Linked DNA regions of Bombyx mori. The protein of the gene in region 2 interacts with the protein of the main gene of each other region in a biochemical or structural test. Links are inferred from orthologs where the notes say so. Each region holds a gene or a part of one and is shown on either strand. Other genes may lie near its edges.

Evidence for each region.
Region 1: of the proteins of serine/threonine-protein kinase grp (region 2) and protein lethal(2)denticleless, one has a biochemical effect on the other in vitro, tested with the Homo sapiens proteins (2 studies listed by BioGRID). The link is inferred for Bombyx mori from reciprocal best matches to the Homo sapiens genes CHEK1 and DTL.

The regions. Positions count from the first base shown.
Region 1 is NC_085118.1:673,849-680,411, forward strand, and holds the start of protein lethal(2)denticleless, read right to left. Parts: upstream 3,833-6,563; 5' UTR 3,686-3,832; coding exon 3,643-3,685; intron 3,561-3,642; coding exon 3,364-3,560; intron 499-3,363; coding exon 387-498; intron 1-386. Other genes in the region: uncharacterized protein LOC101743785, read left to right, coding at 5,931-6,563. UniProt on the Homo sapiens protein: Substrate-specific adapter of a DCX (DDB1-CUL4-X-box) E3 ubiquitin-protein ligase complex required for cell cycle control, DNA damage response and translesion DNA synthesis.
Region 2 is NC_085118.1:17,546,512-17,552,875, reverse strand, and holds the start of serine/threonine-protein kinase grp, read left to right. Parts: upstream 1-2,529; 5' UTR 2,530-3,047; intron 3,048-3,286; 5' UTR 3,287-3,384; coding exon 3,385-3,446; intron 3,447-4,436; coding exon 4,437-4,639; intron 4,640-6,364. UniProt on the Homo sapiens protein: Serine/threonine-protein kinase which is required for checkpoint-mediated cell cycle arrest and activation of DNA repair in response to the presence of DNA damage or unreplicated DNA.

The DNA of each region.
Region 1 (6,563 bases), about 17 Mb from region 2:
TGTTTATTTTATAATTAATGTTTCAAAAGTTTTCAATACACTAAAATTAGGTGTAGATAAACCAGATCAGACCAGCTAATGATATTGATTATCGATTAGTCCCCTGTCAAACAACTCTACTGTATTTCCACATGTGGGTTAAGATGTTAAATAGCCTTCCAAAGTTTATTTTAATAGTTATGTGACGTAATATGTGTATTCGGAGAGGTCACCCTGATTTGAATTAGAAGTCCCTTTGCTCTGAACATTTAATAATTCAATAAAATCAATGCAGCAGCTTGGCTCTGTCCCTGGCATTGCTGAAGTCCATTGCAGCTGCCTGGCTTTAAGTAGCATAATTCACAAGTACAAAATAACACATGAAATTTTAATTATGTTTAATTTACCTGAAACAGTTATAAAATTCATGTTTTTGGGCATCCAAGCAAGGTCAAATACAGCATTATTGTGACATTGGAATGCTTCCAATCTACTTGCTGTCTTTTGCGTGGATGTGTCCTGGAAAATTGTAGAAAGTATAAATAAAATAAAATATAATATATTATAATTATGATATCATAACCAAATTCCATTTTAAACCAATTAGCCTCTTCTCTGACCACAAGCAAAACAAATGAAAATTACCTTTTATATTATTCCAATCGAGCCTGAACTAAATTGCCTTAAACTGCTACATAATACCCACTATTTTCTTGACTAAAAGTACTATTTATACTATATATAATACATTCAATTAATAGTAGACAGCAGCTTAGTTCTGCCCCTGGTATTGCTGATGTCCATGGGCGACAGTAACCTTTGTTTTTTTCCTACCTAAGCTGATAGCCCTAGCGGCTATGTCAGCGTAACCCTAACTTTAGTAGGTGAGCTCACGGGGCTCAAACCTGACGATGTTGCTAACACGAACCCTAGCAAGAGTCGTGCTTCGCAGAATCTACCACCGGATCGGAAACGCGACCCACTGAGAAGATCCGGCGAGAAACTCAGTGGGCTGTGTCTGAGAGTTAATTTACTCGTCGAGCCCTTCGTCGCAAGCGACGGGTTCGACGAGAACGGTGACCGGTGCTTGAAGTACCTAAAAGCACCGTTAGTGGATCGGGAGGATCCGAGATGACGTGTTTTGGGCGACGTCGACTGCTTTCCATTCTGTCCGCAGGATCGGGAATGTAGTTACCGGCGGCCACGATGAGAGGGTTCTCGTGTCGTGCCGCTTTATCGAAGTGGCGCATGGACGCCGACTGTAGATACTTACTGATGGACTCTAAGTCCAGGTCGTCATGGAGGTCGACGTTCCTGACGAACCACGGGGCTCCGACGGCTATTCTGCAAAAACGGGATTGAATGATTTGAAAGGATTTTAAGTGTATGCGGGCCGCGTGAGCGAACACTACACTTGCATAGGTCATGACGGGGCGTATGCAAGTTTTGTAGAGTGTCACCTTATTTCTAAGGGACATTTTACTTCGCCTACATATCATCGGGTAGAGACGTCCTAGAATGAAGGCGGCACGGTCGCGTACCGTCTTAATGTGGGGGCGGAATGTCATCCTACTGTCGAGGGTGACGCCTAAGTATTTGACCTTCGGGGCCCACGGTATGGGCTGGTCGAACATCGTGATTGGGCGAACGGCGGGGGCGGGGGTGTTGACGCGCCTAGTCGGGAGAGGGATGCTCAGCGTGGTGTTCGGAGGGCGACCCCTTTTGAAGAGCACCGCTGTGCTTTTCGTGGGGTTGATGTCGATGCGCCACTTCCGGAACCACTGTCCCATGGTGGTAGCTGCGGTCTGAAGTCGTCGATGAAGCAACGCCTTCTTCCTACACGAGTAGTAGATGGCGGTGTCATCGGCGAAGAGCGCCAGATGGGTCTCCGGAGACCGGGGTATATCATTGATATACAAACTGAATAGTAACGGGGAGAGGGCGGAGCCTTGCGGGACTCCGGCTGTGACATGACGGGGCCGGGAACGCGTTCCCTCGACTCGATATCGGAACGAACGCTTCGACAAGTAGTCTCGTATGATGAGCACGAGTCTGTCTGGCACTCCCATGTTATACAGTTTGTATATCAAACCGTTGTGCCAGACTTTGTCGAACGCCTTCGCTATATCGAAGAAGAGGGCTCCTGTCGGAATGGGTTTCCGCCTGTTCAGCCCTAGTAAGATGTGCTCCGTGAGGCGGTGCACTTGATGGACGCACGAGTGTCTGGCGCGGAATCCAAACTGCTCGTCTATAAGAATTTTATTCGCGGATACGAAGTCCCAGAGGCGTTTACGAAGGAGCCGTTCGTATAGTTTGCCTATCGCCGGGAGGAGACTGATGGGGCGGTAACTCGCGGTTTCGTTCTTCGGTTTGCCCGGCTTGTGTATGCCGATAACGTCCGCTTCTTTCCACGCCGCGGGAAAGATGCAGTTCGTCATAGCAGCATTTAATATGGTGGCCAACATCGTTATCAGTTGGGCTGGTAACAATTTAAGCGCGCAGTTGCGGATGCCGTCGGAGCCGGGAGCTTTCCGTGGTTGTAGGCTATCGATCGCCTCCTTAACCTCGGAAGTGGTAATGGGGGGTAACGCGTCCGAGGGCGGCAGGGAAGCTCTGCGCTCGACCTCCCTGGGGCGACAGTAACCATTCACCTTACGAGTAATGGGCTATATGTCGTCTGCCTACAAGGGTAATAAAAAAATGTATTGATGAGATCTAGTTGTGAGCACGTGAATCACTTAGTTCCTGTTTTACGTAATCAAGATACCACTAAAGGGAGTCTTTGTTGCTTCTAGTTTCCCATCAACAAATTCTAAGAAAATCTTAAATATTACATATTCGATTTTCACAAACTAATAAATAGAGTAAAAGTACTGCATACATTAGAAGTACTTCTTGGTTTTTTGATCCCGTGATGACCCACAATAAGCTACCTAATCTTGTGAGACTTGGCTAATTATGGTATAAAAGTAACAATTTTATTATTATATTATTTAAAAAAACAACATATACCCACCTAAAGCCAATAAAATTCATATTAACTTTCAGTTATGGTTTAAATAAACATTAAGTTACATCAGTCAACAAAAAAATAATATAGTAATGAATTCGAAAACAAAAATGAGGCAAAGAACCTTGGCAATATCCATTATCATTATGATTCTAAAAAACTTTTGTGCTATAACATAAACCCTTTCTAAATTTTCTTTGAAATATCAAATCCAGTACAGTGCAATAGAACCCTCTAATACAAGTGACCAATGTTACAAAAGTCAAAAGATTACTTTTTCTCTAAATGATATTATTTCATTCACCATACAGTGCTTTGTTCATATTCCTGGTTGTGAACTGCCTATATCTGAAGGACAAAGATATGTATGTTACCTGAATAGCAACCTTTCCATCTTCGTTAGCAAGAGCCAGTATGTGTTCATAGCCAGATGTTTCAGCAAATCTACAAGCGAATATCGGAGGATCCTGTTCAAAATTTGCTACAACATTTGAGGATTGGAGCCCGTAAAACGATTCCTCACTGTTCACCACTAGCCGCTTCAGTACCGTATCGTAATTAAACCGGCAATCTGTAAAGACAGTTCCAATTGATTTTTCAAATCTTTACAACAATTGCCCTTTCCTCTTACATACTAATTCACAAGTACTTACGGAGACCGAGTTCACGATCGATCAAATTTTGTATATTATTCATGATTTCATTATAAATTAATGGTAGCTAAACATTTAAAAGTTTAAAACTCTGGATTCTTCGACAAACTTCTTGAACAAAACACGTTAAAAACAACAAATCTGACATTTAATAAAAGAGGCGCGAAATTATTATTAGTTTTTAAGGGATTTTATGACCTGGTAGCTAAGACCTTTAGGTCAAGTCTTATTTTAATTTATATTCTTATTTTTATGAAAAATGATATTACGAAGTGATATGAAATGAAATGAGATGAGATGAGATGATATGGTATAAAATATAATCTCAGTAAAATGGTGGTCATTTACTGAAAAATTTTCAGAGGACTTTTTGGAGGATCCCGAGAAGTTACGTTCAGCAGTTTTGTTTGATTTTCCCACATTTGTACACTTTCACAGATACTAAACAGTTAAACCAGTGTTATTATACATTTAAATCTGAAGAAACACTAAATAGACAAAATAAAATAAATCACACAACTTCACTCCTCGTGTTCCCGCAAAAAAGTCCAGAGGCGCGAAATTTTTTTTTAAGTGATTTTATGTCCTGGTAACTAAGACCTTTAAGTCATGTCTTATTTTAACTTATATTCTTATTTTTATGAAAAATGATAATAATATGGAGTGAAATGAAATGAAAATTATTAATTTGAGACATTAATCAACTGGGATGAAATTAAATTAAATGATGGGATGAAATATAATCTTAGTAAAACGGTGGTCATTTACTAAGATTTTTTCAGTGGACTTTTTGGAGGATCCCGAAATTGCGTCCAGCGGCTTTGTTTCATTTTCCCACATTTGTGCACTTTCACAGATATTAAACAGTTAATAAACCACCGTTATTACACATTTAAACCTGAAGAAACACTAAATAGGCAAAATAAAACAAATCACACAACTTCACTTCTCGCGTTCCCGCCAAAAAGTCTAGGCGCGAAAAAGCAATTAAAGGCATAGATTATACTTAATAATACTATGACTAAAAAGTGACCTAGAACCGTGGAGTTAATAAGTACCTACAACTATTATATAATACTAACTCTATGCCTAATACCTACGATCGTTGTACCTACTTAATTTGGCTTCTCTTTACTATTACTTAAATACCTTTACTCTTCGGCTGAGTTTGGCTGTAATAAAATCATAACCTATCCATACAATTGAAGACTATTTAGAAAGCTCACGTCTGATTATTTCACAAGCCTTGAGAGCGCCATCTGCTGATAACTATCTCCCAGAAAATGTGAACAGCATTGAGGTCGTCGTCGTGGCCTAAAGGATAAGACGTCCGGTGCATTCGTGTTGAAGCGATGCACCGGTGTTCGAATCCCGCAGGCGGGTACCAATTTTTCTAATGAAATATGTACTCAACAAATGTTCACGATTGACTTCCACGGTGAAGGAATAACATCGTGTAATAAAAATTAAACCCGCAAAATTATAATTTGCGTAATTACTGGTGGTAGGACCTCTTGTGAGTCCGCGCGGATAGGTACCACCGCCCTGCTTATTTCTGCCGTGAAGCAGTAATGCGTTTCGGTTTGAAGGGTGGGGTAGCCGTTGTAACTATACTGAGACTTTAGAACTTGTATCTCAAGGTGGGTGGCGCGTCTACGTTGTAGATGTCTATGGGCTCCAGTAACCACTTAACATCAGGTGGGCTGTGAGCTCGTCCACCCATCTAAGCAATAAAAAAAAAAAAAAAAAGGTCGGGGTTATACTCAAGTATTGCAGCCGAAAATTAGACGGTCATAATTTTTCGTGTGTGATGAAAAAGAAACAGTATAACCAAATATTGAAACACAACATTGAGACTTCTACCTGCCTAAATCCATGATCTCTGAATGATGAATTTCGAAAAAAAAAACGAAGCTAATTGTTTATGGCAACTGACAAATTTCGCCGTAGTAACGCGTTTGCTTTTTGTTGATTTCTTAAAATATATTGTTAACGATTATTTTAAGATTGGTTGAATTTGCAAATTATTTACCATTATTAATAGTTACTAGTTTTAAATAACATTCGCATAAAATTGAATGTTCAGGCTGGAGAAATTGCACAGTTTTCGTCTTTAACAATCTTGTTTGTCGGTTAAAGATTACGTGTTTATGTACGTAAAATTATAGATTTTAAAAAATACGAAATTACCTTTTGGGAATTGAAAACACAGGTCAGTAGACCGCTACCTTTTTATCTTAAAACGAAGCATTACTTTAGAATGTATTGCTAAGTAATTTTTTAGGTGTATGGAATGTGAAGTACACAAGGAATATGGACGGGGCTGCGTCAAATCGGGGCAAGAAAGTAGGATTTCGACAGAATATACGCGGGAAGCTAAGCGTGTTCGAGCCACTGATCTGCATTTGGATTTTACCTGCACGATTCCTGATGCAAACCACCGTCGCCCTCAGTATAGTGCCCGCAAACCTGAACAAAATGATGACCAACATGAGACTTCTGTGCTGCCCTTGATGAGCAACATGGATGAAATATCCTATTGGATTTATACTAAGCGGGCTCCATGCCTCATGAACTATGACAACTTAATAAAAAAGCAACATGTTGAGGCTCAGTGTTCAAAAGCGGCATCAAAAAGTGTTAGCAGTGCAATTCAAGAGGTGCCTTCACCAAAGATCACGAAGAAAAGAAAATTGTCTATATTAGATGACGATTCTGCCTCAGTGGAAAAACAACAGAATTTGTACTTTGATGTGTCTCAGAAACACAATAAAAATACTGTGATAATTAGCAAATCAGACTCTGTTGGTTCAGATGTTGATTTTAATATTAAAAATTCACCATGTAATAAAAAACAGAAAAGGTCTAAACTACAAGGTAGTCAACCTACTCCACACAAGAAGCAAAATAACATTATAACA
Region 2 (6,364 bases):
GAGCACATTCCAAAGCCAGATGGGATGTGACAAAAAAGATCTTTAGAATACTTTTGGATAAACGCAGTGGTTCTAGGTAGTATGGATGAACACTATTCCAGTGACGATCGGTGTGATAGTAAAAACGGCATGATGGGATCATCTGAAACGATTTCACAGAGCAATACCCATGGAACATACCGTATTAAATACAAAGAAAACCTGAGGTCTCTCCCCAGAACCCAGAGGTTTTTTTTTTTTTTTTTATTGCCTTTGTAGGGAGACGAGCATACGGCCCACCTGATGGTAAGTGGTCACCGTCGCTCATGGACGTCAGCAATGCCAGGGGCAGAGCCAAGCCGCTGCCTACCATAAAGTACTCTCCGCAAGCCTCGTTTGAAGAAGGACATGTCATAGCGCTCGGAAAACACCGTGGAAGGGAGTTCATTCCAAAGCCGGATGGTACGTGGCAAAAAAGATCTTTGGAAACGCACTGTCGATGAACGCAGCGGTTCCAGATAATATGGATGAACTCTGCTCCGATGGCGGGAGGTGCGATGATAAAAAGGAGATAAGGGAATCATCTCGAATAATTCCTCAGAGCATTCCCCATGGACCATGCGGTATAAAACACAGAGAGAACCGAAGTCCCTCCGTAGACCCAGAGGTTCCAAGCGATCCGCGAGAGTAGGACTATCGACCATCCGAACAGCCCGTTTCTGTATGGAGTCAAATGGAAGTAGCTGGTATTTGGGAGCCCCGGCCCAGAGGTGAGAGCAGTACTCCACGCGAGGTCGGACCTGCGCCTTATAAAGCGCAAGTCTCTGTCCAGGCGTGAAATACCGCTTCGCTCTGTTGAGAACTCCCAACATTTTAGAGGCCAATTTGGCTTTACCTTCCAAATGACTCCGAAACTGGACATCGCTCGAAATATCGACCCCCAGAATCCCGATACTCGCGGAAAGCTGCAGGGATACTCCTTGAAATTCCGGCGCCATGACAAAAGGGTCCTTCTTCGCAGTGAACGCGCAAACCTGTGTCTTCAATGGGTTGAACTGAACTGAATTCAGTTCACCCCACTTGGAGACCCGCCCCAGAGAGTTCTCCACTTCAGACACAAGTTTTAATCGCCTCTCGTGTACAACGCTTCGAGAGAGACTCTGATGGCCGATATATCGCGCATCCCCCGTGCTATCATCCGCATAGCAATGAATGCCATCAATAGATAGCATGTCATTGATATGCAGTATGAAAAGCGTGGGAGAGAGAGATTCCAAACGATCCGTGAGAACAGGATTATCGACAATCCGGCCCTCCTGTTCTGTGAAATTTCACTTCAATACATTCCAGCACACTTCATTCTGTTTGAAACTGCTTTAAAAACATTTCCACTTCCTACTCTAGCGCTATGCCGGCGTTTCTTCCAACAATAATTTGCTGTTTACAGGTAGACATTTTTCAACTTGTCCCGTATACAAGATGGTGCTCCTTACTCCTTATCTCTACCATTTATAGGAAAAACAGTAGCAAGGCACTTTTGTAATTTTTCAGTCGTTCAAAAACATTACAAATTCAGATTAAGTTTGTATACTTCCAAAGACTAAATCTTTCGCAGCAGTGGCGAAATTAACCTGTTAAAGTAATATGTAGTGTAGTTTATAATAAGATTGTTCTATTAAAACTTTATAGATTTACAGTTCTGTAATTACACAGAAAGGACCTAAGAAATAAAAGTTAAGTAAAATCTAAAGTCAGCTGTGGAGCCGTTAGTCGCACTCAAAGTAAAACTTTAACTTTAAATTATAGCACTTACATAAGAATTTGTGGATATTTCACGATTTGTAACATCATTACTAACAAAATTACATGGAAATACTCGTAAATTAAATTATGGAAGTATTATTATTCCAACACTTGAATATACGATAAAAAAAGGAAAAATATTTTGATCTAGCTCTTGGCTATCAGGGCTTGGCTATCTACGTACCAGCTGTATATCGATAAAGCCAAGAAGTTACTATTCATAGCCATAACATTACCTATTAGACATGTGGCTAATTATCAATACACCAATAATTCTTTAAAACACGGTTTCTCGATTTTAATGATATATATATATACTAAACTTATAAATTTTAACAATATATTTGACGAAAGGTAACACAAATTTGAAATAGCGCGTTTATGCTAACTGTCAAGCTTTCGTTGAAAGTTGGCCACCATTCTTAATATGTTTATGATCTGTGGAAATATATAACTGAAACTGAAAGATATAGGGGGACTTTTTGGCGGGAACGCGAAGTTTATTTTGTCCATTTAGTGTTTCTTCAGGTTTAAATGTGTAAGAACGGTGGTTTATTAACGGTTTGGTATCTGTGAAAGTCCACAAATGTGGGAAAATGAAACAAAGCCGTTGGATAACTTCTCTGGATCCTCCACAAAGTCCACTGAAAAAATCTCAGTAAACGACCACCATTTTACTGAGATTAAATTTCATCCCATTTCATTTAATTTCATCCCAGTTGATTAATGTCTCAAATTCTTCATTTCATTTCACCCCATTCATTTCACTTCATCTCATTTCAATTCATTTCACTTCATGTCATGCCATGTTTCATATTAATCAGTTTAATTTCATTTCATAATATCATATTTCATAAAAAAATATATTACAAAAGATTAGGCTGTATGGTGTGATACCTTTTTACCTTTCTATTTGGAAAAATAAAACTACTACTACTAAAATAATGACGTTTGACAGTTTTGTTTCAGAACGAACGCCTCGTCAGCCAATATTAGCCATTATTCCGTTCGCGGCAGCCATCATTGATCTTGTTGAACAGAAAAATGGCGAAAGTCAGAATTGCCGCCGTCGTCACATGTATGCCGGTTAAATTGCAAAAAACTGATGTCAGTTACTTAATGTTTACTCGTACTATTCCATAAGTTTAAGGATCAGGCGATCATAAAATAGCTGCACACGTTTAATAGCAGTTCCCAGCGTAGCATTCGATGTCAGCGGTTCCTAGAAAAAGATGGCTAAATTCGATTCATCGATCACAGATGAGGTTAGTATTGTTCAATTTTATTTTTAACACTTGTCGTTCAGCCAAAATATTACATGCCATGGTAGCACGACGCAATTTGCCGGTGACCAAGTATTGTATCGGCGTAATCAATTTGCTTTGTTCGGCACATCCACGTGCCTTCCGCCATTTGGCAGTTTTATCGTTGAATTTACATAAAATGTAACACATTTGACAGATTAAATAATCGCTTTAAACGTAAATTTCTTCGTATTAAACAGTAACACGTGTGGAAAATACAAAAATACCGAATGAGAAGAGTTGGTGGCGTGGTCGAGAGAACTGTTTCCTTGTTCCGGCAACGCGGTGCTCCCAACCAATGACCGAGTTCGTCGAAGGCTGGGTTGTCGCGCAGGTGCTTGGTGAAGGCGCCTATGGAGAGTGAGTTCTCATCTATCCGCTATCTAGATGCCGGATTCATCTTAACCACTCACGATCACGACAGCTCAGTATCAGCTGATTTGAGTATATACAGTATAAGACCAGAACCAGAAAAGTATTACTTATATATAAGGGTGTATGTGCAATAAATAACAAAATAATTTAAACAATCCTGATTTAAATTCACTACAAAATACTTAGCAATTAACAATATTTTTTATAGTCACTGTTGCTGCATTTGGTGGTGCTGATGTTCTTTATTGTGTTATTCATTTACTGAATCCCAGTCACCACAAGATTAATGTTTGGTGAGACATTGTTGTCTGAAGACCTTAGTCAGTCTCGTAAACTACAATCTTTGATAGAAACTGATAAATTATAATATTGTCAGGAGGATATTACTTTTCCCACTGTAATGGAAAAACAAGCTAAGTACCTGGAGATTGAGAAGAAACTAAAAAAAAATTCAAAAAATGAAAATGAAAAACTGATCACTTCATTAAAAAAAGAAAATTGAAATTGAGCCTAAAATTATTAATACTTTGATATGTAACACTTATATATATTTAGTTTGATAGAAAATCATGTAGCCCATTGGATGCTAAAATCCAACTTTAGGCCACAAACTTAAAATGACTTCTAGGGCATACCTTACCTTATTATATAAGCTCAAAGTCCATGTCGAATCTAATGTATCCTTCACAGTAAGATCTCATTCTTGCAGTAATACACAGTGCAGTAGTGTTCTATTACCTCCAGTATTTTATTGCTTTCAATAGCAAGTGTGCTTAGCTTAAAGATGCAGTGTAGACCATGAGCATTGGTTATCATAGGCTACATCTTCACAGGATCAGGATATCATTCACCCAGATCAACAATATTATTGGCACAACTAAGTACCTACTGAAGAGGTGGTAGTGAAGTTATATGGATTTGATAAATAAGTTGGACTCCAATGAGTAGTTGAATAATGAACAAAGGACGGGTTAGGGTTCGGCTGCTGGTGCACGGCGCGTCGGGCGCGGCGGTGGCGGTGAAGGCGGCCCAGGGCTCGGGCGGCGCGCGGGAGGCAGCCCTGCAGCGCGCGCTGCGGCACCCCCACGTGCTGCGCTGCTTGGGCGAGCGCACGCATCTGCAACATCACTACGTGTTCCTAGAGTACGCGCAGGGCGGCGAGCTCTTCGACAGAATCGGTGAGTGCCTCTCCCCCCCCCCCCGACCCCCTTCGCCTCAGCCGGCTCGGCAGAACGTGACCGCGTTTTTTGCTCTACACAGGCCGTTGACGCGTTCGATCAGCTTATTGTGCATTTTTTGCGACCTGTTTCTTTTAACTCAAAGATTGATCAAAATTATAATTTACTAGATGCCAGTCTATTTGTTTGAATAAATTAAAACTGAGTAAAAATGTACTTTAGCAAATGTCACTTTCATGTGACTTTTTATGAAATACAAATAAAAGAAAGTATGACTATCTATTGCAGTTGTTTTTATTATCACATTCTATAATCATTATATATTTTGTTAATGTTTACATATCGACGCTTGAAAGGCAAACGTGACTAAGCGACAATGCGTGAACTTTACAGTAGACTAATTTAAAGTTGAAATACCTGAAAAAAATTATATTTTAACGAATCTAGCTGTAGGATTGAAATTATTTTAATAGCCCTAGAAATATATATTTATTGGGCATCGAATATGGTTATTGCCTATCATTTATGTACAAAGCAGTTATTGTCGCTTAGTCAAGTTTGCCTTTCAAACGTCGATATTATTTTAAGCTTTTGTAGTTTCCTACATTATAAATACTTTTACCCATCAAAATATGCATGTAAATAAAAATGAGAATGTTCACATTATGTTTGTGCTCTGTATTCCTAAGAGATTCATTTGATTATGACGAAACCCCAGTAAGGGGTGTTACAGTACCACCAAGGCCTGAAAGGTATGCGGGTAGTTTAAAAAGTTTTATTTTTGATATGATTAGCGAGTCACAGCAGTTGGGACCGGGTGCCACTAACTTGAAATATTGGTATCTCAACAATATGTAGAAAACCCATTTTTAAAAATAAAAACAATTGTAATTTAAATTTTACAACATGTCGAATTTAACTGAATAACAATATGAATAATAATATATGTAGATATGAATATGAGTATTGTATTGGATTGGTAGGCTCCCTCACCTCTACTAGCATAATATAACAATCCATTGGATAAGTTAAATGCTGTCGCTTTTGTAAGTTCAAGAGAGCACATGATAATATTTGATATGAGCATTCTCTAAAATAGATTAAAAATTTTTGATAGAGAATGATACGACATAAGCTGCAAAAAAAAAAACAACAAATGTACGTAATGGACACAGTGTCTATAAGAGTAAGTACCACAAAATGATTTAAGTGATCGCAGTTGAAAATTTTGATGTAAAGAGGGCATATTAGTCGTTACAATACATCTGAATAGTTAGAGACCATAAAGCAGTTTGAACCCATTGGAATGAGTCTCCATATAAAGAAAATTGCCTTGAAGATTGCCCACGCAAGCTTAATGAAGAGACCAAATGAATTGTGTACTTGTTTGACATTTTCCATTGAAATGTATTAAAATCGAACCTTTTTGATTGATCACTGGTAATGTAAACTGGATTACCTACCACAAACACATGGCAGACACATGCCACTCGACAAATAGAGCGCTTGCACTTTCACCAGCTTCAGATTTTCACCAGCTTCTATGCGTTCGGCATTCTTTCGGTAGTCTTAGCATAACATCACGAGAGGACTGAAAACCAACAATTCTTAACTAATGGGATTATATGGGATACTCTACCTACAAAGTGGCACATATATATTAAAATATTTAAAATGCAAGTAGACCCCCCGGTCTATAGAGCTGTTTCAGATTTGTGTCAATTC